Linked DNA regions of Caenorhabditis elegans. The protein of the gene in region 3 interacts with the protein of the main gene of each other region in a pairwise test. Each region holds a gene or a part of one and is shown on either strand. Other genes may lie near its edges. The genes, in order: hcp-1, unc-83, nud-2 and hcp-2.

Evidence for each region.
Region 1: the proteins of nud-2 (region 3) and hcp-1 interact in a two-hybrid assay, tested with the Caenorhabditis elegans proteins (3 studies listed by BioGRID).
Region 2: the proteins of nud-2 (region 3) and unc-83 interact in a two-hybrid assay, tested with the Caenorhabditis elegans proteins (one study listed by BioGRID).
Region 4: the proteins of nud-2 (region 3) and hcp-2 interact in a two-hybrid assay, tested with the Caenorhabditis elegans proteins (one study listed by BioGRID).

The regions. Positions count from the first base shown.
Region 1 is NC_003283.11:6,592,654-6,599,718, reverse strand, and holds hcp-1 (HoloCentric chromosome binding Protein), read right to left. Parts: upstream 5,526-7,065; 5' UTR 5,494-5,525; coding exon 5,443-5,493; intron 5,386-5,442; coding exon 4,784-5,385; intron 4,740-4,783; coding exon 4,238-4,739; intron 4,189-4,237; coding exon 3,886-4,188; intron 3,835-3,885; coding exon 1,921-3,834; intron 1,874-1,920; coding exon 1,610-1,873; intron 1,558-1,609; coding exon 995-1,557; intron 946-994; coding exon 717-945; 3' UTR 511-716; downstream 1-510. Other genes in the region: ZK1055.6 (Protein F37C4.5), read left to right, coding at 12-464; ZK1055.2 (Nucleotide-diphospho-sugar transferase domain-containing protein), read right to left, coding at 6,085-6,298, 6,345-6,463, 6,511-6,678, 6,723-6,787, 6,836-7,058.
Region 2 is NC_003283.11:6,463,238-6,468,095, forward strand, and holds the start of unc-83 (Nuclear migration protein unc-83), read left to right. Parts: upstream 1-1,827; 5' UTR 1,828-1,975; coding exon 1,976-2,047; intron 2,048-2,196; exon of another isoform or gene 2,197-2,396; intron 2,397-3,149; exon of another isoform or gene 3,150-3,330; intron 3,331-3,767; coding exon 3,768-3,866; intron 3,867-4,727; exon of another isoform or gene 4,728-4,858. UniProt on the Caenorhabditis elegans protein: Cargo-specific adapter that is involved in nuclear migration during development and thereafter.
Region 3 is NC_003279.8:7,857,228-7,860,957, reverse strand, and holds nud-2 (Protein nud-2), read left to right. Parts: upstream 1-1,540; 5' UTR 1,541-1,554; coding exon 1,555-1,764; intron 1,765-1,849; coding exon 1,850-2,240; intron 2,241-2,289; coding exon 2,290-2,405; intron 2,406-2,671; coding exon 2,672-2,836; 3' UTR 2,837-3,202; downstream 3,203-3,730. Other genes in the region: apb-3 (AP-3 complex subunit beta), read right to left, coding at 3,212-3,508, 3,684-3,730. UniProt on the Caenorhabditis elegans protein: Part of a complex with lis-1, which is recruited to the nuclear envelope by unc-83, where, in turn, it recruits dynein to the nuclear surface and regulates nuclear migration in hypodermal precursor cells.
Region 4 is NC_003283.11:9,643,836-9,650,728, reverse strand, and holds hcp-2 (HoloCentric chromosome binding Protein), read right to left. Parts: upstream 4,871-6,893; 5' UTR 4,848-4,870; coding exon 4,797-4,847; intron 4,752-4,796; coding exon 4,150-4,751; intron 4,103-4,149; coding exon 3,601-4,102; intron 3,553-3,600; coding exon 3,265-3,552; intron 3,217-3,264; coding exon 1,822-3,216; intron 1,777-1,821; coding exon 1,513-1,776; intron 1,466-1,512; coding exon 903-1,465; intron 848-902; coding exon 625-847; 3' UTR 518-624; downstream 1-517. Other genes in the region: atl-1 (Serine/threonine-protein kinase ATR), read left to right, coding at 5,275-5,348, 5,396-5,497, 5,546-5,610, 5,655-5,734, 5,783-6,265, 6,311-6,538, 6,586-6,893.

The DNA.
Region 1 (7,065 bases), on a different chromosome or scaffold from region 3:
TCATGTTTCAGAGTCACATGAAAGATGTGTCACCAGGTGAACGATTCACCTGTTCTCTAGGCGTGGACACGGCCATTCGTATCGAATATAAGCCAGCCAAAAAGTTCCATGAAGAAGGCGGTTACATCACAAAACATTCAACTCATGCCACCGAGCAGACGATTAGTGTAAAGAATACAAGAAGTGGACCGCCTGTACTGTTAACAATCAAGCATCATGTACCACGTAGCACAGATGAGAAGATACGTGTGAAACTGACATCTCCAGTTGGCATTACCTCTGATCAAACTGATCAAATTAATTCAGAAAACGCTGAACCAAATGTTGGAATTATTCTGAACAAAGATAACAACTTGGAGTGGACTATCAAATTAGACGCTATCAGTTCGAAGGATCTATTGATTAAATGGATTGTTGAACATGCGAAAGGAGAGAACATCGAACTTCGCGAAAATTTGCAATGATAATAATCCTGTGAAATTTCTGAGCTGTAATATATCACTTTTTCACTATAAATGACGTCACCTTTATTCAGGATCTTCTTTGATTGTATTTTAATGAGACTAAAAATCGTTGATAAATTTAAAAACCCGTTTATTCTGACCCTAAAAGCAAATAATATTTGACAAGTAAATATGGGTTCAGAACGGGTATTCATGGCACATATGTTAGTGGGGGACGGTGAGAGATCTAGTGGGGTGAGAGAATCTTATAGCCTATTGGTGTTGGCAGTTTGATCGATTCTTCTTCGATGGAGTTTCGCGAGCCGACTTCTCCAAAACGTGATCCTCCGGATGATGATTTGAAGCATCTATCTGCCGGGCAGTAGTATTCGACATGGTTTGAAGACGATCTTGGAAGGAGTTCTGCGCATCTTCGAAGGCATCCTCATGAGCAGAGTTTTGCGGTTCGACAAGTGAGCTTTCGCGGCTCAGTTGTTTCACACTGAAAATAAAACGCTCAACTTGTCAATTTTAATACATGTTCAACTCACCCAAGTCTTGCTTGCTCGATCAGTCCCATTACTCGTGGCGGCGTCTTTACACCCTTCAGCTGCTTGATCTCGGACTGAAGTGTCATGATCTTGTCCTTATACTCCCGCTCGTCATCATCAAATGCATCACAAACTTTCTCCAATCGCTGGATTTCGATTTCAGCCCTCACCAACTTTTCCTCAAGTTCCAGAATACGAGAATGTGCTTGTTCCAGTGCTTCCGACTGTTCTTTATTTTCAACTTGAATCAAAGTGATGTCGTGTTGAGCTTGTTCTTCGACTTCAATGACACGACGGTCAGATGCTTCCATCTTCTCATGCATTTCTCCAAGCTGTCGTTGCATTTGCGAAAGCGATTGAGTGAGAGTGCCGAGTTGCATTGCCTGCGACTTCCAGACATTTGCTTCTTCCAGGCGAGCCTCAAACTGCTGTGAGATTGTTTCGATCCGCGACTCCAGAGTAACAATCGTGTTCTCTTTCTGAGAGAGTGCTTCCTCTGCAGCCTCGAGTTTTTCGTTTGCATTGCTCAAAGACGAGTTCCACTCCAATCGGATCGATGCTTTCTGTAAAATTTATCAATAAATTTGGAATTAAAAAAATGTCCGTTAAACTAACCTCCACTTCGAAAGCTTGCACGAGGTTTAGCATCTGCTCCTGAACTTTTTCGAGTTCTTCGACTTTCTCCTGCTTTGCGTTTTCGGTGTCAGCTAGGGCCTTTTGTGCAAACTCAATTGATGCTTGAAGCTCTTTAATGCGTGAATTCAACTCCTCTGACTTGGCTTGAGATTCTTCGATTGTACTCTGTGATGTCCGAAGAGTATCAATTACGGATTGGAGGCGTTCTTGTTCTTCCTTGTGCTTTGCAGCTTGATCCGCGTTCTGAAAAAATACAATTTTATAAATATAAAAGAGAAATTTCGTCAAACCTCAACATCTCGGCTTTCAATCTTGGCCACTAGTTCCGCAAGATGTTCTTCTTGATCCATCATTGCCTTTGTAGACTTTTCTACTTCTCCACGAAGCTTATCAATAGTCTCAGCGGAAGTCCTCGTCAGTTCAATGAGCTCGGCGTTTGCAGATTCCAACTGAGAAGACATTTCGGATAACTGATCCATATTCAAGTTAGTATCAATTTCCATCTGCTCATTTTGACTTTTCAGCTCACAGATTTGCGATTCAAGTAGTGACACTTTGTCGGTGAAGTCTTGGATGGTTTTGCTTTTTTGAACGTTTTCAGCTGTACTACTCTCGATAGCAGTTTCTAACTCCTGAATTTTACCTTCCAACGAAGTTACGAGATCAGAAGATCTGCCTTTTTCTTGAACAGCAGCGTCAAGTTCAGCACGAAGAGCTTCATACGATTCACCTTGTTCTGATTTAAGAGCTTCCATAACGACTTGAACAGCATTGGTGTCCTGGCGAGCAGTTTCAAGCTCGCTTTGAAGATCAGAGACTTGCACGTTTAACTCTTGAACCCTGGCATCTGAAGTTCTCAAGTCTTCCTGAAGACGATCAGTGAGATCCGAAAACTGCTGAGCCAAGTCGAGTTGAGATTGAAGCTCCAAAACCTTACCGTTGGAATCCTTCAAATTGGCACGAAGATTGTTTAATTCCTCCAAAGGTTCCTTCAAATTCTCCAACAAAGATTCCAACTCTTTGACTTTATCTTCAGAAGCGACAGCATCAGCCCGAGTTGATTGCATTTCTTCTTGGAAGGCGGTCAATGAAGCTGTCATTTCAGAAATCTGTGCTTCAGACGAATCCAACTTCAACTGCATTTCCTTATTCGCTTCAGTGATGACAGAAAACTCCCGACTAGAAACTTCAATTTGCTGTTCGAGTTCAGACACTTGAATATTCAATTCTTGGACCCTGGCATCTGAAGTTCTCAAGTCCTCCTGAAGACGATCAGCGAGATCCGAAGATTGCTGAGCCAATTCGAGTTGAGATTGAAGATCCAAAATCTTATCGTTGGAATCCTTCAAATTGGCACGAAGATTGTTTAATTCCTCCAAAGGTTCCTTCAAATTCTCCAACAAAGATTCCACCTGTTTGACTTTATCTTCAGAAGCGACAGCATCAGCTTGAGTTGATTGCATTTCTTCTTGGAAGGCGGCCAAAGAAGCTATCATTTCAGACATCTGAGCTTCAGACGAATCCCATTTCAACTTCATTTCCTTACTTGCTTCAGTGATGACAGAAAACTCCCGACTAGAATCTTCAATTTGCTGTTCGAGTTCTTCATTCTTTGCTTTCGACATGGCAAGATCGGCTTGAAGTTCTTCAAAATTCCTCAGAGAAAGTTTCAACTCTTCGTTTTGCAAATTGGATGACTGAACCTCACGTTCAAGCTTTGAAAGCACCTCAATAGAAGACTGAAGTTCGTCAATCTTTACTCTTGACAGTTCAATATCCAATAAATACATTCGATGAGCCTCTTCCATCTTCAACTCCAGATTTTCCACCTTAGTGACGGCAACATCAGTTTCTTGTTGTGAAGATAAGAGTTGAGCAGCCACCATCTCCAATGAAGACGTTAGTTCCGCAATTTTTTCGTTTGAAGATGTCAGATGTACATTCAACGAATTGTTTTCATCAGACTGTCTCTTCACTTCTTCCAACTGCATCTTCATCTCAGAAGTCAATTCCTGGATTGTAGCTTGCGATGCCTCCAACTGTGCATTGGGCTCACTCGTGGATCCTGACTCAAGTTTTGCAGCTTCTAACTGGTTCTCCAAATCAGAAATCTCTTTAATCATGAGCGATCTGAACTCTTCGAGTTGTTGCTCGAGCTCCACAACACGAGAATTATTGGTGGCTTCAAATCGCAGCTTTTCGACCTGAAAAATAAAAATATATATATTGATTTGTGATTATTCAATTAAGCCAACCTCTGCTTCAAGGCCGTTCACTTTTTCCTCGGCATTCTTGATGTTTTCGGAAGCTTTTTCTTGTACCACCATTAACTCTGCTTGAAGTTTTTCTTTGTTCTCAGACGACAGTTGCACCTCCAATTCAAGTTGTTTGATCTTGTCGTGAAATTCTTGGATCTCCAAGTTTGCTTGTTGGGATTTGAGGGCGAGTACTTCTGCCTCCAGTTTCTCCATATCCTCAATCATCATCTTGCGAACAAGTTCGTGCTCATACTTCAGCGATTCACTTGTTGTTTGTGATTCGGTGCGAATCCTTTCCATCTTAAAAATAATTAATTAAATTTACTTCGGCAATAAATTCTATAAAAACCTCTTCACTGAATCTCGCTTCTTTCTCTACTAGATCGCGCTGAAGACTTTCGTTCATTTGTTTGGTATTCTCAAGCTGTTTGATTGCTTCTTGATGGCCTCCAATTAACTCCCGAATCCGATCTTCCGAAGCAGTCGCTCCTTGTTGCATCGAATCTACTTTCAAAGCCTTCTGGGTCAACTCCTCGATTTGAGCGTTCAGAGCAGCAAGATTGTGTACCAACTGATTCTTCTCTTCGTCAGGCTCTTCCAGCTTCAAGCGTAACTCCTGAACTTGTTTCTCGAGAACTTGTTCTCGTGCCTTAGCGGCTTCGCGGTCAGATTTTGCCTTTTTCATTGCAGAATCTACTTGCTGAGTCAGCATCTTTTCCTCAAAAATTCGAGCTTCTTGAATCTCACTGAGCTGTTGACTGTGACTTTGACGGAGAAGCTCGATCTGCGACTGAAGAAGTTTGATTGACTCCTCATGCTCGGAATTCTGCTCCAACATTTCAAACTCGTGTCTGAAATTATTTTGTTTTAAGCTATAAATACGACAATTTCTTACAGTGAGAAGTCAATGTGACCTTTGACAGGAAGCACTGGGGACTGGGGGACATCTCGGACTGGCTTTGTAGGCTGATCTACTCCTTTGGCGATTTCCGTGAGAAGCTGTGGATTAGATACTGTTGGAGTACATTCTCGGCTCAGAATCTGGCTCATTGGAGTACGAGAAGCAGTAGGCGTAGTCTCTCCGTCAAGTGCCAATTGATTATCGAAATCATTGGACAGTGTGGCATCGGCGTCCGTCTCGTCGCTTTCTTGAACCATGCTCAGGTTGCTCGTGCAATTTGAGGTGTCGTAGAGCTCAGATTGTTCTAAATTCACATCAACATTGCTGCCCGGAGTGATGGAAGCATCGTTGGTTCCCACGAAGGATGCATCATCAGTAGCCAAAGCTGTTACTGTAGACAAATCCAGTAGACTTGTGTTGTCGGCAGGGGTGATAGAAGAAGCAGAAGACGGGCGGGAATCATGCTCGAGGCAGGTCTCCTCCAGGTTGCTATCGGCCATATTGCCCGACGAAGTTCCAAAAATGCGTTTCGGTTCTCTTCCTAGTCGTGATTTAGGCGTAGCGGCGGAAAATGGCGACTCGGTTTGCTGGCGCTTCTGAAATAATTTATATTGTCATTGATTTAATTAAAATTTTGAGAAAATTCAACTTACATTTCCAGCTGAGCGCTTGTTCTCGTTGTCGAATATCGGCGATTCGTCCATTGTGAAAGAAACGTCGATTTATCTATAAATTAGCAATAATGATTATGGAAATTACACAAGGGATATTAAAAATCAAAAAGGGCGCGTGATTTGAAAAAAGGAGGAAAAAAGTACTAAACAGGAAATTAAGGGGAAAATAAGTTTTTAGAAATATATCTATTAAATACTGCGTGTGAAACTTTTTGACGTTATGTGGCAACAAATAAAGTAACAAAACAGTATTTTCCAAATGTCAGATAACTGAAAATGAACGTTCATGAATAATGAATGAATGAACGAAATGAAAAGTGCCGGATTCCCGCGCGTGGTGATTCAAAATTGAAACCTTCCCGCCATGTGCGGTGGAGCACGGTTGCTCTTACCGACCATAAGGTCAAAATATAATAGGTCTACAAGTGAAAATCGGTATATTTTATTTATTTTGCAGTTTGTGGCCTTGTAAAAATGGGGTTGATTGGAACAAAAAAATTAAAAACCATCGTTTGCGTTTTATGTAGTTTTCACAAATTTTTATTCCAAAAATATATCTTGTCTTACAATTCAAGTAAATATACATACACAAAATCTGAATTTAAAGTTTAAAATTGCTGGTTACTGAAACAATAAACCCATCATCCGGATATAAGACAAAACTTGCTGAAATGCAACATTTTCTTCGAACATTCTCAGGCTTTTCAGAATTTCGTTTTTATCTCCACGAAGTCGTGAATCGTATGACCATGTCGAATTTTGAGGACTACATTTTTGAAGATCTATAGGCCCACTCAAAGGATTATACCAAAAATCTCGTCCCATTTGGCTAGGCCTGTAATACTTGAATAATTTTTAAAAAATTCAGGTAATTTGCCAACTCAAGCTTCACATTCGGCGTTTCTCTCAATTGATTCGTTTTCCAACCATGGAACATGAAATCTAACTCTGGATGCCACATCATTGATGTCAGCCAGCCGTCTTTAGCCCATCCTGTTCCCTGTACAGTTAATATTGTAGATGTTGTGGTATTAATTTTAAACCTACTTTTTTCATAATTCTAACTTTTCCAAAATCAGTGGATACGCCAAATATTGCTCGGATACATGACTCGTAGGTGAAGAGATCATCAAAATTTTTAGAATTGTTATAAGCTTTTTTGCATACTTTCGTATTTGCAGAAGCCTGTGGGAACAACTTTTCGGCAAGGAAAATCTAAACAATAAAATAAAAATTGAAATAGGAAGTTACCAAGTTACATGAAGTGCTCCATTATCCGTTCCATGAAAACTATTTGGTAACTTGTACTCATAATCAGCAAACTCTGCAATTTTATTAAATTCATCACAAAAATTTCGAATAAAAAACTAACCGTTTAATAAATCAATAGCATATTGAGTATTTCTTGCAATATAAGATCCAGCCATGATCTCCCAATTATAGAATCTATCATAGAATGTAACATCAATTCCATCATCCAAAAACTCTTCAATTTTTCGCTTTGGATTCACAACACCAATATCAGCGTCTAAGAATAGGATCGCATCAAATAATGGGAGAATCTTTGCGGAAACACAGTGGCGGCGGAAAAATTTCTGAAAT
Region 2 (4,858 bases), on a different chromosome or scaffold from region 3:
CATAATTTTCTTTTGAAAACTTTTTAATGGCTTTACGCATTTTGAGAAGGAGCTGAAGTTTTCTAACTGTTTTTGAAAGTGTTACCCCTCTATGAGTCACTGGGGGCAAACGAGAAGCGCAGTTTGGGCGACATTTTGTTGCATTATCAAATAAAAACGGTTGTCTCTTCTTTTTTATTATCAACCAATGCAGAGCCAACATTCTACCAAATTGATAGTAATGCAAGTACTTGCCGTAGATTCCCTCAAACATTTGAGACAAAGGGCCTAAATAGTTTTAATTGTGAAACAAATTAGACACGACGTTCGAAGTTTATTCTGCAGTTTTGGTAATGCGTTGTAATTTTGATGTTAGTCTAGAAACAAATGTTTTCTTTTTGAAATTTTGCAATGTTCTTCAGAATATTTCAAGTATGAAATTTCTAAATTGTACTTCAAATCATTTCTAAAACTCGTAAAACATTCGGGCACTACAAAGTGTTCCTTTTCTACTTTAGTATCACAATGTTTCGCACATTGGTGATAAATGAGCCGGGGCTGTCTGCCGTTTCCGACTCCATTAACTTGGGTCCATTATCCCATCGTTTCACTGTGTTTCTATCACATTTATTGGGGGAACTTCCTGTTGCAACAAAACCAATAAATTCGAAAAGTGTCAGGGCCATGTGCTGTTGGACATCTATTCGTGAACATTTTCAAAATTTCGATTTGTTCCTTTCCAGTTTTCCATAGATTCAATTTTAATTGAAAAATGAATGGGTGGAAACTTGAATTTAAAAAAAAGGAATTTAATTCAATTTTCAACAAGTTCAAAAATATTTTTTCCAACGTTTTGTTAATTGATATTTTCCAGAACTTTCTAAATCAAGTTACATTTTTTTTGAAAGCTACAACCTATTTTGTAGTAATTTGGAAATTTCTTGGACCTCGTTGTGATAATTTCCATAAATTTTGCTTAATATTTTTTATTGGAAATCACGAGACTTTTTCACACAAAATAAAATCTTCCAGCTGATTTCCCTGGTCCAATCTCTTTTTTATCACTTTCACACCTATCTCTTCATATTTTCATATCTTCATAAATCTTCATAAAAATTCATAAAACAATATCTCCATCATAATTATCATCTTTTATTATTTTATCAGGTGTCGAAAAGAAACGAAAACTGTGTGAATGACATGATAATCCATCATCATCACAAGCTTCTCTTCCCAACTCTCTAGATTCTCCTCTCTCATCAGTATTATTGTTTATTAAGGCGGAGACTTCGGATTGGGGGGCAGATTTCGAGCATCTCACACTTTTCTATGTTTATCTTTTAATTTGCGAACATTTTTGCGGGCGATGGCTTGTTGTCCAGGGCATGAAATCCATGGATTTTTATTTGGATTTTCAAAAACTGGCCTAACAAATTTTATGGAAACCGTACTATACATAAGTAAAACATTTATGAAGTTTTTCGTGTGTTTCTACATTTTTATTAAAAACATTTTTTATTATCTTTAAAAGGATGTTTTACTGCTCGACACAATTTTCATAGATTTTTGGTAAACTAGGCTAGTTTTGAATTGAGTATATATTTTGCAAATTTTCTATCCTCAATATGACTTGAATTTCCGTTTCTTGACTTTGATCTCAACAGAAATCTCTTCTTGAAATTTATTTTCAGCTCCAATGAAACAACTAATCTCTTTTTCTTTGTTTTTCACGAAATTTTTCCTATTTTGTTCTACACACAAAAAATTGTATATACTTTTTCTATTTTTAAATTTTCACCTCATTTCGTTTTGATTAAGTATTTTTCCGTCTAAACTAAATTTTTCCAGATCCGTTTCTCATCCGTGATCATATTGCGCAGATGCGTAATTGATCGTCCACCCCTACCAGTACAGTATCCCACGTCTGGATACAAACTTCTCTGATTTTTTTATTTTTATTCCTGGACACCGAAAGTAACCCGAAAACAGGTTACGAATGGACGTAATGGACTCATTCTCGGAGGTCGAGATGCCCAATGATATATCATCGGAGGACCATCTTTTGAAGGTGAGGCAGAGCTTTAAATTTTACGAAAAAAAAATACTTTAAAATTTTCAACGCATTTTCTTGCATATTGAATTCATTTGAAAAGTAAAATTTCGTTAAAAGTAGGAGAAAAAAAATTAAAAGTTCGATTTCTTTATTCAAACCAAAGTAGAATGTAGTTTTTTTCTAAACCAAAACGAGCGAAAATAATTTTATTTTTCAAATCTATTTGATTATTGAAAGTGCCTTTTTGAAAAATGCTTGAGCATTTACCCTTGCGCCATCAATTGTTTGCAAAAAGCTGTCAAAAAGCCCGAGAGGCCGAGTTTTCAATTTTGGCGCAAAAAATCCCGAATTCCACGCTATCTTTTTTTTTCTTTCGATTGACTAAAGACGAACGGCTGAAGTTTTTTTTCGCTGTGCTTCAAAGATTTATAACTGGAGGTGGAAAGAGTTAGTGTCGCACATTCAAATTCCGCATCGTTTAGTTTTTCTTATCGAATGTTTTGATCTGGTGGGGGACGACGAAGTAAATTGAATTGAAAACTGTGGTTATCTTGAAAAGAAGTTTGAAGGAGAAAGTGTAAAACTATTGATGACGGGAGTTTAAATTTCAAGAGATTTTAAGACATTCCCATATTTCAGTGTGCGAAAATTTATCATTAAAAAATATTAATTATTTCTATGTGCTAAGTACATTTATTAGCAAAAAAGCGCAGAATCAAGTTCAGACAACATAATTATATTGATCTTCAGAGATTTTGCACATAATTTTGAGAGCCATTTTTCAGGAAAAACATAAAAGTTATCAAAATTGGTCCGCTAAATGATGTGTAAAACCTTTAAAATGCGATACTTTTTAATATTTAAAAGATTCGCATGAGAAATAATTGACTGACACCTTAGGTTCCTTGTAAAATATTTCATTGTATTATTAGTAAGTATAGGTATTTCCCAGATTTCCTTGTTAAGGTACCGCAAAGTCAACACATTCATGGACACCTTTTTTTGTTGACTTACCCCATATTTCTCTTTTTGTTTCCAAAAACAATATGCGGACCATTGAATCCTCACGCCATTCACACACATTCCCAGAGCGCGACTACTAGTAACTTTGTTTGGCAAAAGCTGTTAGTAAGAAGAGAATGATTCCGAGTGCCCAATACCATAAGTGTTTCTCGAGGTGCGCATCTCGGCAGTGAAGAGCAACTTGCAAGTTCGAGTGCATTTCTCCAAACTTGGTTGTTCCTACACAACGATTCCTGTGCCATGTTCCTTGATCCTCTCAATTTTGGCAATTGAATCGATTAACGTCAGGTTTACTCTTCGTTTTATTGCAAAGTGGGCCGCCCGGAAGGTCGAGAAATCGTAAATTGACTCGGAATTACCAATTTTACAGTCACACTGAAAGCAAAGCACTTCTTTTTGGTAGAGCGGGTGGCCATTGATTGTCGTTAAATCGTTTGTGAGGGTCATTTAGAAAAATGGGCGCATATTTTAATTTTTCAGAATAATTTTGACAATTTTAAATAATGAAAATAACAAATTACATTTTTTTGAAAATCTTGTTTCACCTTTTTTGGTTTTTTATTTGTATCAAATTATAAACTGTTTTATTAAATTGCACTACGCAGCTGTACAAGATCGAATTGCGCGTGTACAACCATCGTTAAAAATATCTCCTAGATATCTTTCCAGCTGTTACTTTGCCCATTTTAATGATCAATAATTTAATTTCCAGGTCATCGAATCGTCGGCTGAGGAAGTGGATATCTTTTTGGAGAACTGCTCCTCGCTCTACAATTTAATCCTCGACTCGTTGCACAACCTCACCTCAAAAGTAAGTCTTATTTGTTTTATTGCTTGTGTCGTTTGGTTGCCATGGATCAAGTGAAACTGGGAGAGTAATTAGGTGTAGCTGGCCTCAAAAGAACCTCCTGTTTTTCTCGATTTTCTTCTAGTTTTTCTTTGAACAAAGTTTTTTGCTTAGCCCTCTGATATCAAGATCAAGTTTTGCAAACTTGAGGCAGTTGTCCATTTGATTGAGCAAGAGATAGCAATAGTTTAAGGGGTCATCAATTATCAAAAAGAGAAACGTTACGAGCCTGTCAATTGAACACAAGCCTGGTACGAAAATATTACGGCAGATGTGGTGATGGATAACTGAAAACATTCACTTGACAAGCCTTTTGCCTGTGCTTTAGGGAATTTTTGAATCTTCCAAATACAGTTTTTACATAAAGTTTACCAGAATTAATTTCTGGTTGAAGTTTCAAGACTTGTTGATCTAGGAATGATAAATTAAAATAAACCCTTCCCATTCACAAAAACATAGCTAACTTATTCTTGCTCTAACTAGTAAGTTTTGTTCACTCCATGAACTACATCTAAATTTAAGCGGTTAATCATAGAGTAAACAACAAAAAAAAACCAATTTTTGAAGGTATAAAGTTGTACTTCTCAATATCCGATGATTAAAATTTTTAAAAAGAAAGTATCCTCAAATCGTTTGCTCTTTTTCAATGAGATAACAAATGACCACTGCAACTCATCTCTCTGTGCTTCTTATCCTCCCACACTCATTCAATATACTCACCCAATTTTTGTGGCAATTGCCGTTTGTTTGGAAGGTCACCCATTAATCAAATGTAGTTGGTTGATTGTGCAACCTCTACTACTAAACATTTTGATGAAGATCCTTCATTTTATCTGCCACTGACTCCTGAGAAAATGCCACACATTTCGATTCAATTAGCTTTCCTAAATTATTATACCAAATAGTATCGAATAACATCTCGCCCCCCGAACCACAGAAAAGTGGCCCCCAATAGT
Region 3 (3,730 bases):
CAAAATGTCAACACAGAGCTCTCGCTCTTCGATTGGCACTTTACGAGTGAAGTCAAATACTGATTTGATAGGCTTCTCAATGTGGAGGAATCTTTTGCGACGATCGCTTTCTTTTTTTGTTCACCTGTTCGTACTATTCAATTCTTCAGCAGAGTGATGTTAACCTTGATCGTGTCATGTCGACCTGAATAGGAAATAGATGAATCGTATAGTTTGTGTGTATGTGAAGCACTTTTCTCGTTCATTTACATTTTCGAATATCAAATTTAGGTGTGGTACTGCGGCGCGGGAAAAAACGCGAAAAACAGATTATACCACCCCCAACTCTCCTCGTGACGTGGCCCAGTGATTCGTGAATCCTATATTAACCGCTGAAATTGGTCATTTATTATCTCAACCGGTTTCGTGTTTCTGTTCACTAATTCGTACGATTTTCTGTGTTCACCACACCTAATCCAATTAGAACTCAACAACTCGATGAGTCATGCGTAGGCGTTTTGGAATTTCATTTTTTAAATGTTTGTTAATACATTTCATTCTCTCCAAATTCTCACTTACATCATTAGTCTCAATCGTTACAACTAAATTGACCCGCTTAACTTGAAAATCTTTCAAATAATATGCTCAATATATTCTGCATTCCTTATTCTATTTGTTATCAGTTATTATACGCGACCATTGCCGCTCCCCATTCCTCCGACTGCTGCCTATCGTGAGTTTGACCTGAATTTCGTGTGGGAAATTGGACTGTTATATGAATTTAATTTCTATTTCCGAAGTTTAATTATCGATTACTAAAATTGATTGCCATTTCTGGAATACTCTTTGAAGAAATTTACCAATTTTTCTTTTAACACAGATTTTCTTGAATGACTATTCTATTCTATTTACAAAAAGTGTTAATTTTTTCGGAATTAGTTTCTTATAGCAGATTTCTTTGAACTTCATCAGTGTATTAAACCCAAAAAACAGTAAAATTTTCCTTCAAAGTATTTTGAAATCTTCAAAGGTTATCTGATCTTAAAATTATTGCCTATTGGTGTTACTCGCACAGCTGTTCGACTTTTTGTAGCGGAAGTGCGGACGAGCTATGGGAGCAAGGACAAACACAGAGCACACGGCGGCCGGAGCAGCCGGAGCACCCCCACTTTTTTGTTTGCTCGAATGCCTTGTGTCAAAAACTTTGGAGGATTTTCCATCTTTCCTCAGAGAGATGACTTTAGCTGTCTATCAGATGATGGCGACCTTAGATATCCCGATTTATAAGAATACTGAGACTTTTCTTCAACATCGTTAAACCTCAAAAAACATCCATTTGCGGTAGCAACTAATACGTAGTTGCTTCTGTTTTCCTCCGTTCGACCAGTTCTCTTTTTCTCTCTTTCCCAAATGTCCATTCTATTCTCTCACTTTTTGTCCACACGTGGCCGAACGTTGTAAGGGTTTAGTGTGTTCACAGGCGGCATTATACGTTTTTTCCTACGATTCATAATTTTTGTTGAATATCCTGAACAATTTTCTAAACCTTTAATATTTTCAGATCATCAGAAATCAATGGATTTGTCTGAGGATCAAATTCGCGGACTACCGCACCATGAGCTTCTTGGTCATTTCTTGCAAATGCGCGAAGAGTTTAACGAGTTCCAGACAAGTTCCGCGGAAATTGAGAAAATGATGGATTCAGAATTGGATGATTTGAAAACACAACTGAAAAAAGCAGAAACCAGAGTACAGCAGATGACCACAGAGCAAATTAGGAACAAGGTTGGTACTATTTTTTACATTAAAATTGAAAAAAAAAACTTTATAAAATTTTTCAACTATAATTTGAATTTTGTGAATTTTAAAGGATCGACAGGACGATTCCCGTGTACAATTTGCACAAGTCGAAGAGCAATTAAGACGAGAAAACTCACATCTTCATGAACAATGTGAAAGTCAGAGAGAAAGAATTCGAAAACTGGAACAGAGAAACGATGTGCTCGAAACATCAGAAAGAAATAAGGAATATCTAGCATCTGATCTCGGATCGAAACTGGATCATGCTATTGAAAAGATAGCAATGTTGGAAAGTGAGCTTTATGAACGGCAAGTTGCTGCTGAAGAAATGCATAGATTACGAGAAGAACAACTTCGAACAACAGAACGGCCACGTTTGATTGTAGAACCATTGAGGAATGATCCAGAAATTCTGCCGGACGAGCCATCCCCAGGTCCAAGTAAAGAAGAGTTTAAAATGAGTAAGTATTTGTCGCATTTTGAGAATGAAAATAACTAGTACTATTTAAGGCTCGGAAGATGTTTTCATGGAAGACGTGCAGCACCACGAAGATGTTCGAATGGAGGAAACTATTGCAAAAATTGACGAAGTGCGCATCGATGACAATAAAAATATTCAAGAAAAAGTACGTAAATTTTCTTTTTTTGGTGGATTTTTGAAAGTAAATATCCAAATATTAATTCAAAGAAGACCTGCAAATTTCGATCAATTAATAGCTTCACACCTTATTTCGGAATGAAAAACATTTAGTCGAAAAACTCTTGCAGCGAGTTCTAATTCTTTTTTCCCTCACAACTATAAACGATAGCATCTCTAGATGCAGAATAGACCGAAAAAACAATATTTGCTAACCCATTTATAGTTCTCAGCCAACATTTACATAGCTTTCAGAGCCAACGAGTATCTACCGGTACGGGCGCCGGTGCTTGCATCAATCGAATCGTCAAAGACCTGATGACAAAAGTCGAGCGGCTCGATTCAATTTTATCGACGATTCGCGTGAGCAACAACTCGTCTAACAACAATTCCAGTCATCTTACAACGACACGGGCTTAACATTTCATTTTTTGGTTTTTCTCACCTTTCTCGCATACTGTGACTTTTCATTCACTCAGGGATCCTCCATTTCATCATTTCCTTCGTTTCTTTCCGTTATTATTCTTTTCCATGACATCCTGTATCATGCTTATGTTTTATTCCCACCCAATTGGTATTAGACCCCGATTTTATTTGCCCCGCCTTACTGTTGCTCAATATAAGTTCCACGTTCGCCATTCACCCACATTATTTTCCAAATTTCTAAAGTGCCTACATATTTCTAATTTTTCTGTTAAAAATTTATATATCCGTCACCATGAATAGTTAGTAAAGGAATGATTTCAAGAAAAAGTGAGCAAAATAAATAAATAAATACAATTTGAATTAATCTTTCTAGCAATTTTTGGAGACAGAGAACGCCAGCATTCGTCCTATCACCGAGTTGTCACAACAGCACTCAATCGATTTTTCTGAAACTGTCAGAATACAAACATCCTTTCGTGAACGTGTCTGGCAAGTGAAAATGGTCAAATCCGAAGAAAATGCGTTAACAAATAGAGCAATTGACGAAGGATTAATGGGATTTTCGAGTTGTATCACATGCCGATTGAGACCTCCAAGACGACTTCTTTCTTTTGAAATATCTTCTGGAGACAGACGAATTGGTTGAACTTGCTCACCATATGGGACCTAGAATTTAGGAAAAAATTTAGTTTATCTTTAAAAGATGCGGATTGTGGAATCTAGTCAGGAATTATACAAGTTTTGATATAAAATATTAACCATCAAGGGAGTATTTACGTTTTTCAATTTTTTTTGTGGAAAAAATAATTTTAAAAGCCTCTGAAACTATTTAAAAGATTACCTCAAATCTGAAATGCTTCTCATGACCATCATCTCTTGTAAGTATCC
Region 4 (6,893 bases), on a different chromosome or scaffold from region 3:
TGTCGCCTGGGATGTTGTCGAGTCTGAGCTTTTCAGAGTCCGATAGCTTCAGCGGCGGGATCCTTGGCGGTTTAGAGGTTCGTTCCAGTTGGCGCTTTGCTTCCAGGTCTCTGCACGGGTGCGTGTTTGACTTGATCGCTGCCAAGTACATCTGTTGCGTCGAGAGCTTATATTCTTCTTTCAAAGGGAGAACTCTGCATTCTTGGTAGATGTGGTCCGTCGGCGTGTCCTTCGTTAGTCCAACTCATAACTCCAATCTTGTTGCCGTTGTTATTTTGTTGTGGCCGTCTTGTCGAAGGAAGGGGAGGAGCCTAGTCAACAAGGTAGATCAAAAATAAATTATGAGAAATTTGTGCGATCGTATTTTTTCGATAATATCACGGTCAATTTTTTAAATGATAATCAAACAAACTCAATATAATCAATGATCTGTATTTTTTCGGATTTAATTAATCAATTCAATGCATCAAAGAAGAAGACTATGTAATATAAAAGCACAATCATCTAAATTTAAATTCACATAAAGACATTTATTCTGACCCGGAAAGACATTCACAGTTGAGTAGTGCGCGGAAATACGTAATGGCACACAAAAAGTAAAAATAAATAAAATACGAGTTCAAATTATTGCTGGTTGCAGTTTGAGCGGTTCGCCTTCTTCGACGGCGTTTCAACTGCAGTTGTTTCTTGAAGATGATCATCTGGATGGAGTACCGTAGATGACGTGATAGCATCTGGCGAATGGGAAAACTCTTCTTGGAACGAATCCTGAGCATCTTCGAACTTGTCCTCAACAACAGGCTCTGGTGGCTCCGCATGAGAATGTTCACGACTCAGCGGCTTCACTCTGAAATATCAAAGATTTACATATCTGAGTTTTGTCGAAAATCATGGAGACTTACCCAAGTCTGGCCTGTTGAAGGAGTCCCATTACTTTTGGTGGTTTCTTGATTCCTTTCAATTGCTTTATCTCAGATTGAAGCTTCGAGATGGCATCCTTCAGCTCTCGTTCAACGTCGTCGAAATCGTCACACACCTTCTCGAGTCGTACAATCTCCTTCTGGGCTCTTCCCAGTTGCTCCTCAAGTTCCGCTATTTTGGATAGTGCTTCTTCTAGAGCCGCTGATTGCTCGTTCTTCTCTTCCTGGATCACAGTTATATCATGCTGAGCTTGCTGCTCCACTTCAACTGCGTATTTGTCCGATGCAACCAGCTTCTCATTCATTTGTTGAAGTTGTACTTGTAACTGAGACAACGATTCAGTCAGTGTACCGACATTCATGGCTTGGGTCTTCCAAACATTCGATGCTTCAAGGCGCTCCTCGAACTGCTGAGACATCGCTTCGATTCGAGCTTGGAGAGTGATAATCTCTTTTTCTTTCTGAGCAATCATTTGTTCAGCATGACCAAGCTGCTCTTTGTCTGCGGAAACAGTTTGGTTGAACTCGTTTTGAAGTGATGTCCTCTGAAAAGAAATAAATTATGTTCTGTTCGAAATTCGAAAGAATATACCTCTGTCTCAAAGTCTTGCTTCAGCTTTACCATTGCCTCATTCGCCTCAGATATCTGAATGTCTTGTTGATGTTTGACGTCTTCTACATCTTGAAGAGCCTTCTGTGCAAAGGAGATGGAAGCTTCAAGCTCTTCGATACGAGCAGCAAGTTCATTTGACTGGGAACGGGATGTTTCCGTGGAATGTTGAGCCGATTTGAGCTCGTCGAGAGTCAATTGAAGCTGCTCCTGCTGATCACGATGTTTCGATACTTGAGCGATTAGCTGAAAAACAAGTTTAATTCGACTGAAATCTTAAGGAATTTAAACCTCTTCTTCTCTTCTCTGAACTTTAGCTTCGGATACTTCTAGGCTCTTTTTCAGTTCTTCCATCCCTTCAAGAGCATCCCCAAGCTTCGCATTCAGTTCATCAACCATTTCCTTGTTCATTATCTTAGCTCCAATCAGTTCTTCCTTAACATTTTCCACTTGGGATTCTCCGACGACGAGTTTATGTTGAAGCTCTTCTAGTTGAGATGCCAACGCCACCATATCCCTCTTGTGACTAGAATTTAGTTTTTCATTCAGAGATTCGAGAACTTCAGCATTTTGTTTGAAATTTTGAAGGTCCAATTGAAGTTGTTTTATCTCTTCCACAGAGCTTTGTTGAAGATCTTGAGCAGACTTTTCCGTATCTTCAATTTTCAACTTCAGCGTATCCACCAGTCTCAGAAGACCATCTTTTTCTTGAACTGCAGCATCAACCACTGATCGAGAAACTTCTTGTGATGCCGACAACTCCAGTTGAAGGGCTTCGAAAGATTCTTTTAAAACCTCACTCTCCATCACTTTCTGACGAGCATTACTGACTTCTATCTTGAGCATCTCCAGAGAGACCTGCAATTCTTGATTCGTACTTTCTGCAGAGTGCAATTTTTCCTTCAAATCATCAATCAATGATTCCTGTTGATTCTTCAGATCTAGAATTTGTTCTTCAGAGGAGGCCAAATCAGAGCGAAGTTTTTCGTTGGTTTCCTCTGCTTGCCGAATTTTTCTCAAATAATCTTCAAGGATGTGTTTTTGGTCTGCGGCGGAATCTGACTGCACTCGAACTTCAGCTTGGAGAGAATCAATAGAGGATCTCAGCTCAATAACTTCTGCTTCCGTCGACATCAACTTGCTCTGAATCTGGTACTTTTCTTCTTGATGTCGAGCCGATTCCTGGTGCATGACTTCAGAAGTCTCGCGAAGAGATACAAGTTGCTGAATTTGTTCCTCCTTCAATTGATCACGAAGCTTCTGACAATCTTCTTGAACAATTTCTAGCTTCTTGAGCTGTGAACTTCCAGTTTTTACAGCTTCTTCTTGTGCCAACTCCAATTCTTTAATTCTTATTTCCGCCTCTTCCAATTCAACTGATGTTTCATGTTGAATTTCTTCTAGTTCCAGTTGAAGACTGCAAACTTTATCCACCGAAGCCTTATATTCTCTTCGCATTGTTTCCAACTCAGAGACTGTGTTTTCAAGAGCAAGCGAATACTCATTTTGTGTAGACTCCGAATCCATTAGAAGTTTATCGCTGGCCTCAGAATCTTGACGAAGAGACTCAATGGTAGTCAATAGTTCACTGATTCGAACATCTTTATCTTCCGCTTTACGATGTGCATCGTTTAGCTGACCTTCCATGTCCACCAATTTTGCATTTTCGACGCGAAGGCTATTGATCTGAAATAAGAAATATAGTGCAATTATTTCTAAACTCGAACTACGAACCTGTTCCAGGAGTTCACCGTTTTTCTGAACAGCTTCCCCAATTTCTGACGTGGCTTTCTCTTTCACTTCTACGAGCTCTGACTGAAGTTCAAGCATTTTTGAAGTCAAATTGCAACAGTCAATTTTGAGATCATCGAGAGTCTTCTGAAGTTCTTCCAGTTCAGTAGTATCATTCTTCGGTTGAAGAGCAGACATTTCATTCTCAAGACGATGGATTTCATCCAACATCAGTTTACGAACAATTTCATGTTCCGACTTCAGAGTTTCAATTTCAGAGTTGGAGAACACCTAAGAAAAAATATAATTAATTTTCAGGCAAGATATTAACTGCATTACCTCTTTGTTGATCGTTGTCTCCAATTCCACATACTTCATCTGTAGTGTCTCAATGTCTTCCTTAGCCTTTTGCAGTTGTTCATCAGCCTCCTCTTTCATTTCTTGCAACTCCACAAACTTTTTTTCGTAGTCCTCAATGCTGTGTTGCATGACATCAACCTTCAGTGCTTTGTCAGTAAGCTCTTCACAACGACTCTTCAACTCTTCCAACTGATGTTCAAACTGTAGTTTCTCTCCGTTCGGCTCCGTTAATTTCATCTCGAGCTCTTCAATCCGTTTCTCAAGAAGTTGTTCCAGAGTTTTTGCAGCTTCGCGCTCAGATTTCGTCTTTTTTACAGCCTCCTCCACTTGTTGCATGAGCATTTTCTCTTCAACTTCACGAGCTTCTTTAATTTCAACAAGAGTTTGTCTATGTTTCTCTCCAAGAAGTTCAATTTTCAATTGAAGATCTTTAACGACTTCATCATGCTCGATATTTTTCTCCAGCATTTCGAATTCATATCTGAAATAAACAATTTAACAATGGGAATAAATTTAAATTAATCTTACAAAGAATATTCAATTCTCGATTTTTCATGCTGAGATGTTGACTGAACTGACTCTACAGAAGTTGACTGCACAACCTCACTCTCGATTGGAATTTTCGAACGAAGTGGGGAAGGAGCAGTTGGTGTACTTTCGTCTCCAACTTGTGTCTGGCTCCGAAGTGGTGTTGACGGAGTATTCTCTAGATCTTGAATCGTTGCTTGTTGGAAGAAGTCGTTCGCCAGTGTGACGTCACCATCAGTCGCAAAACTCTCGTCAGCAATGCTACAGTCTTTGCTGATGCTGTCTTCACTGTAAACCTTCGTTTGTTCCAAATTAGGATCGACATCATGAGCTGAGGAAGCTCTTGGCGGTTCACAGACACTGTTATCATCAACGGAGGTATTTGGCGGGGCGAGTGTGGAAAAATTGGAGATTGAAGAATCATCAAGAATAGAGTCGGAGGTACTGGTAGACGAATGGCGCGAGTCTGGCTCAATGCGAGTTTCTTCAAGATTTCCATCGGCCAAATTCATAGCAGAACGCCCGAAAAACCTTTTCGATTCCTTTCCGAGACGCGATTTCGGTGTCGCAGCAGAAAACGGAGATTCAAGCTGTTGTCGCTTCTGAAATTGTTTTGCTTTTGATAAATACAAAAATATTTAATTTACCTTCCCAGTTGCAGGCTTGTTTTCATCGCCGTCGTTTGTACTTTCCTCCATATTGAATTTGATCAAATTCGTCTGAGAATTTACGATAATGAGTTGGGGAATTGCACTATTGAAAAAAACAGTCCACGTTTAACGAAATAAAACGAAGTGAATCTGGAACTTCACGAGAAAATAATAATTTTCAACAAAACAATACAAAAACTGGAGCAATCGTTTAAAATTTCGCGCCGTTTCAATAGGGCGAGTTTGTATTTGCAATGCAAATTCGAATATATTCGATCCAATCGAACTCTATATTTTGCTTAATTTTTTTTGCGGAAGGAATTTATTTTTAAACTTTGTTCGTTTCCTTATTTTTAGTAAGTATTAGTGAATTCTTCATAATATTATCACAAAAACGTTAGCAATATATTTTAAATATTGTTAAATATCCATCGAACCACTGAAATAACGTGCGCAGGCTTTCAGATATTTGGGAATGAATATCGATAAGGATGTTTCAGCTCTGCTATGTACGGCGAAAAAATATGTGACGCAGAAAGAATTCAACAGGTATAATTATTAAATCTTATCTTAACTTTTTTATTTTACATTTTCAGACAAAAAATGAAATTCTTGTTAGATGACATAACTAAATTGTTATCGAAATCTTTCGTTTCCCGAATCGAGCAGTTAGACGAAAATGAGTTCATGGAAAAGATGTGAGTTGGAAAATGTAGAAGATGATGATTATATTTATGTTTTTTCAGAATGATCCTTCAGAGTATAACATTTACATTACATTTAATAACAGAGAAGCAGGAACTTTCTTCAGGTAGAAAATACAATTTAGTATTTGTATTAATATATTCGTTCCAGAGGAAAAAATAAGATTATTTCAATCAGTGATTGCGTCGATGTGTGCCTTTGAGGATGAAGAATTGGCAAAATGTTTTGACGTTAGCAAGAATTATATTCAATAATTCAATGTTTTTTATTTATTTCAGCGAATTCTATCAGTACTGATGATCTCTGTGACGAAACAAGACCCGAGAGAAACTATTTATTTCCTGCAAGGATTACTGGAAGTTGTTAAATATTGTGACGTCGAACCTTCGTCTTCTCTGCCACAATTAATCACTCCTGAAATTGCTTCAGCTATTTCATTAGGTGCCTCAGGATTTTTTAGATATCATTTGAAGTGGAATATCATTTCAACTTTATTCGGAGAAAACGCAGGAGAATGCGTTCATTTCGATGAATTGGTTCTGTTTTGGCCTCACTGCCGATCACAGTTGGAAGACAAACTGAAAAATGATTGCTCGATGACCGAAAATTGCTTGCGTGCTGGATTGACAATCTTAAAATATAAAAAACTGCACAATTCTATTCTTGATCAGGCCCTGTTCATTGATGAACTGTTTGCCACATTTAACTCATTAACTGCGAAGAAGTCGACCAATCACATGACGTTTCCAAAGCTATTGAATGTAATTTCATTTTTATACTTCGAATGTATAATTTATCAATTTCAGGAGATACAACACTTTCTACAGGATCATGGCAAAGTTTTGATTATGCATAAAGAACTTCGACAAAAACCAGTTCAATGGCTCATAATTTATTTAGAGTTAATCGATGATGCAAATGACAAGTTTGGACTACTAGAAAACTTTTCCTTGTTGTTGTTAGATTTATCGACAAACCATGATATACATGAGTTTCCTGCGAGGCTATGTATGACAGCAAGTGAGATTTGCATGGTGAGTTAATTAGAATATTAAACAATTAAATCTCGGAATTGTTACAGCGGCGAATCAAACACTCTATTCAAAGTACACACACTGATTGCCTTGCTGATTACCTGGACATATTGGCGTCTCTGCTGAAACTTGCTCGAATTCAGAAACTAGACATTTTTCAATGTTTTGCCACAGAGATTGAGGCTCATCATTCCCTCAACAATCCGCTTTGGCCACGAATTCTTAGATCTCTACTCAGTGTACAGAATCCTCATTGCCAGCAATTCTGCAAGAAATTCGTCCCGTCTATAGACAAATTGTGGATCACATTATTGAATGGCGAGTCATCGAGAGCTACTTTAAACTCTCTTGTCAT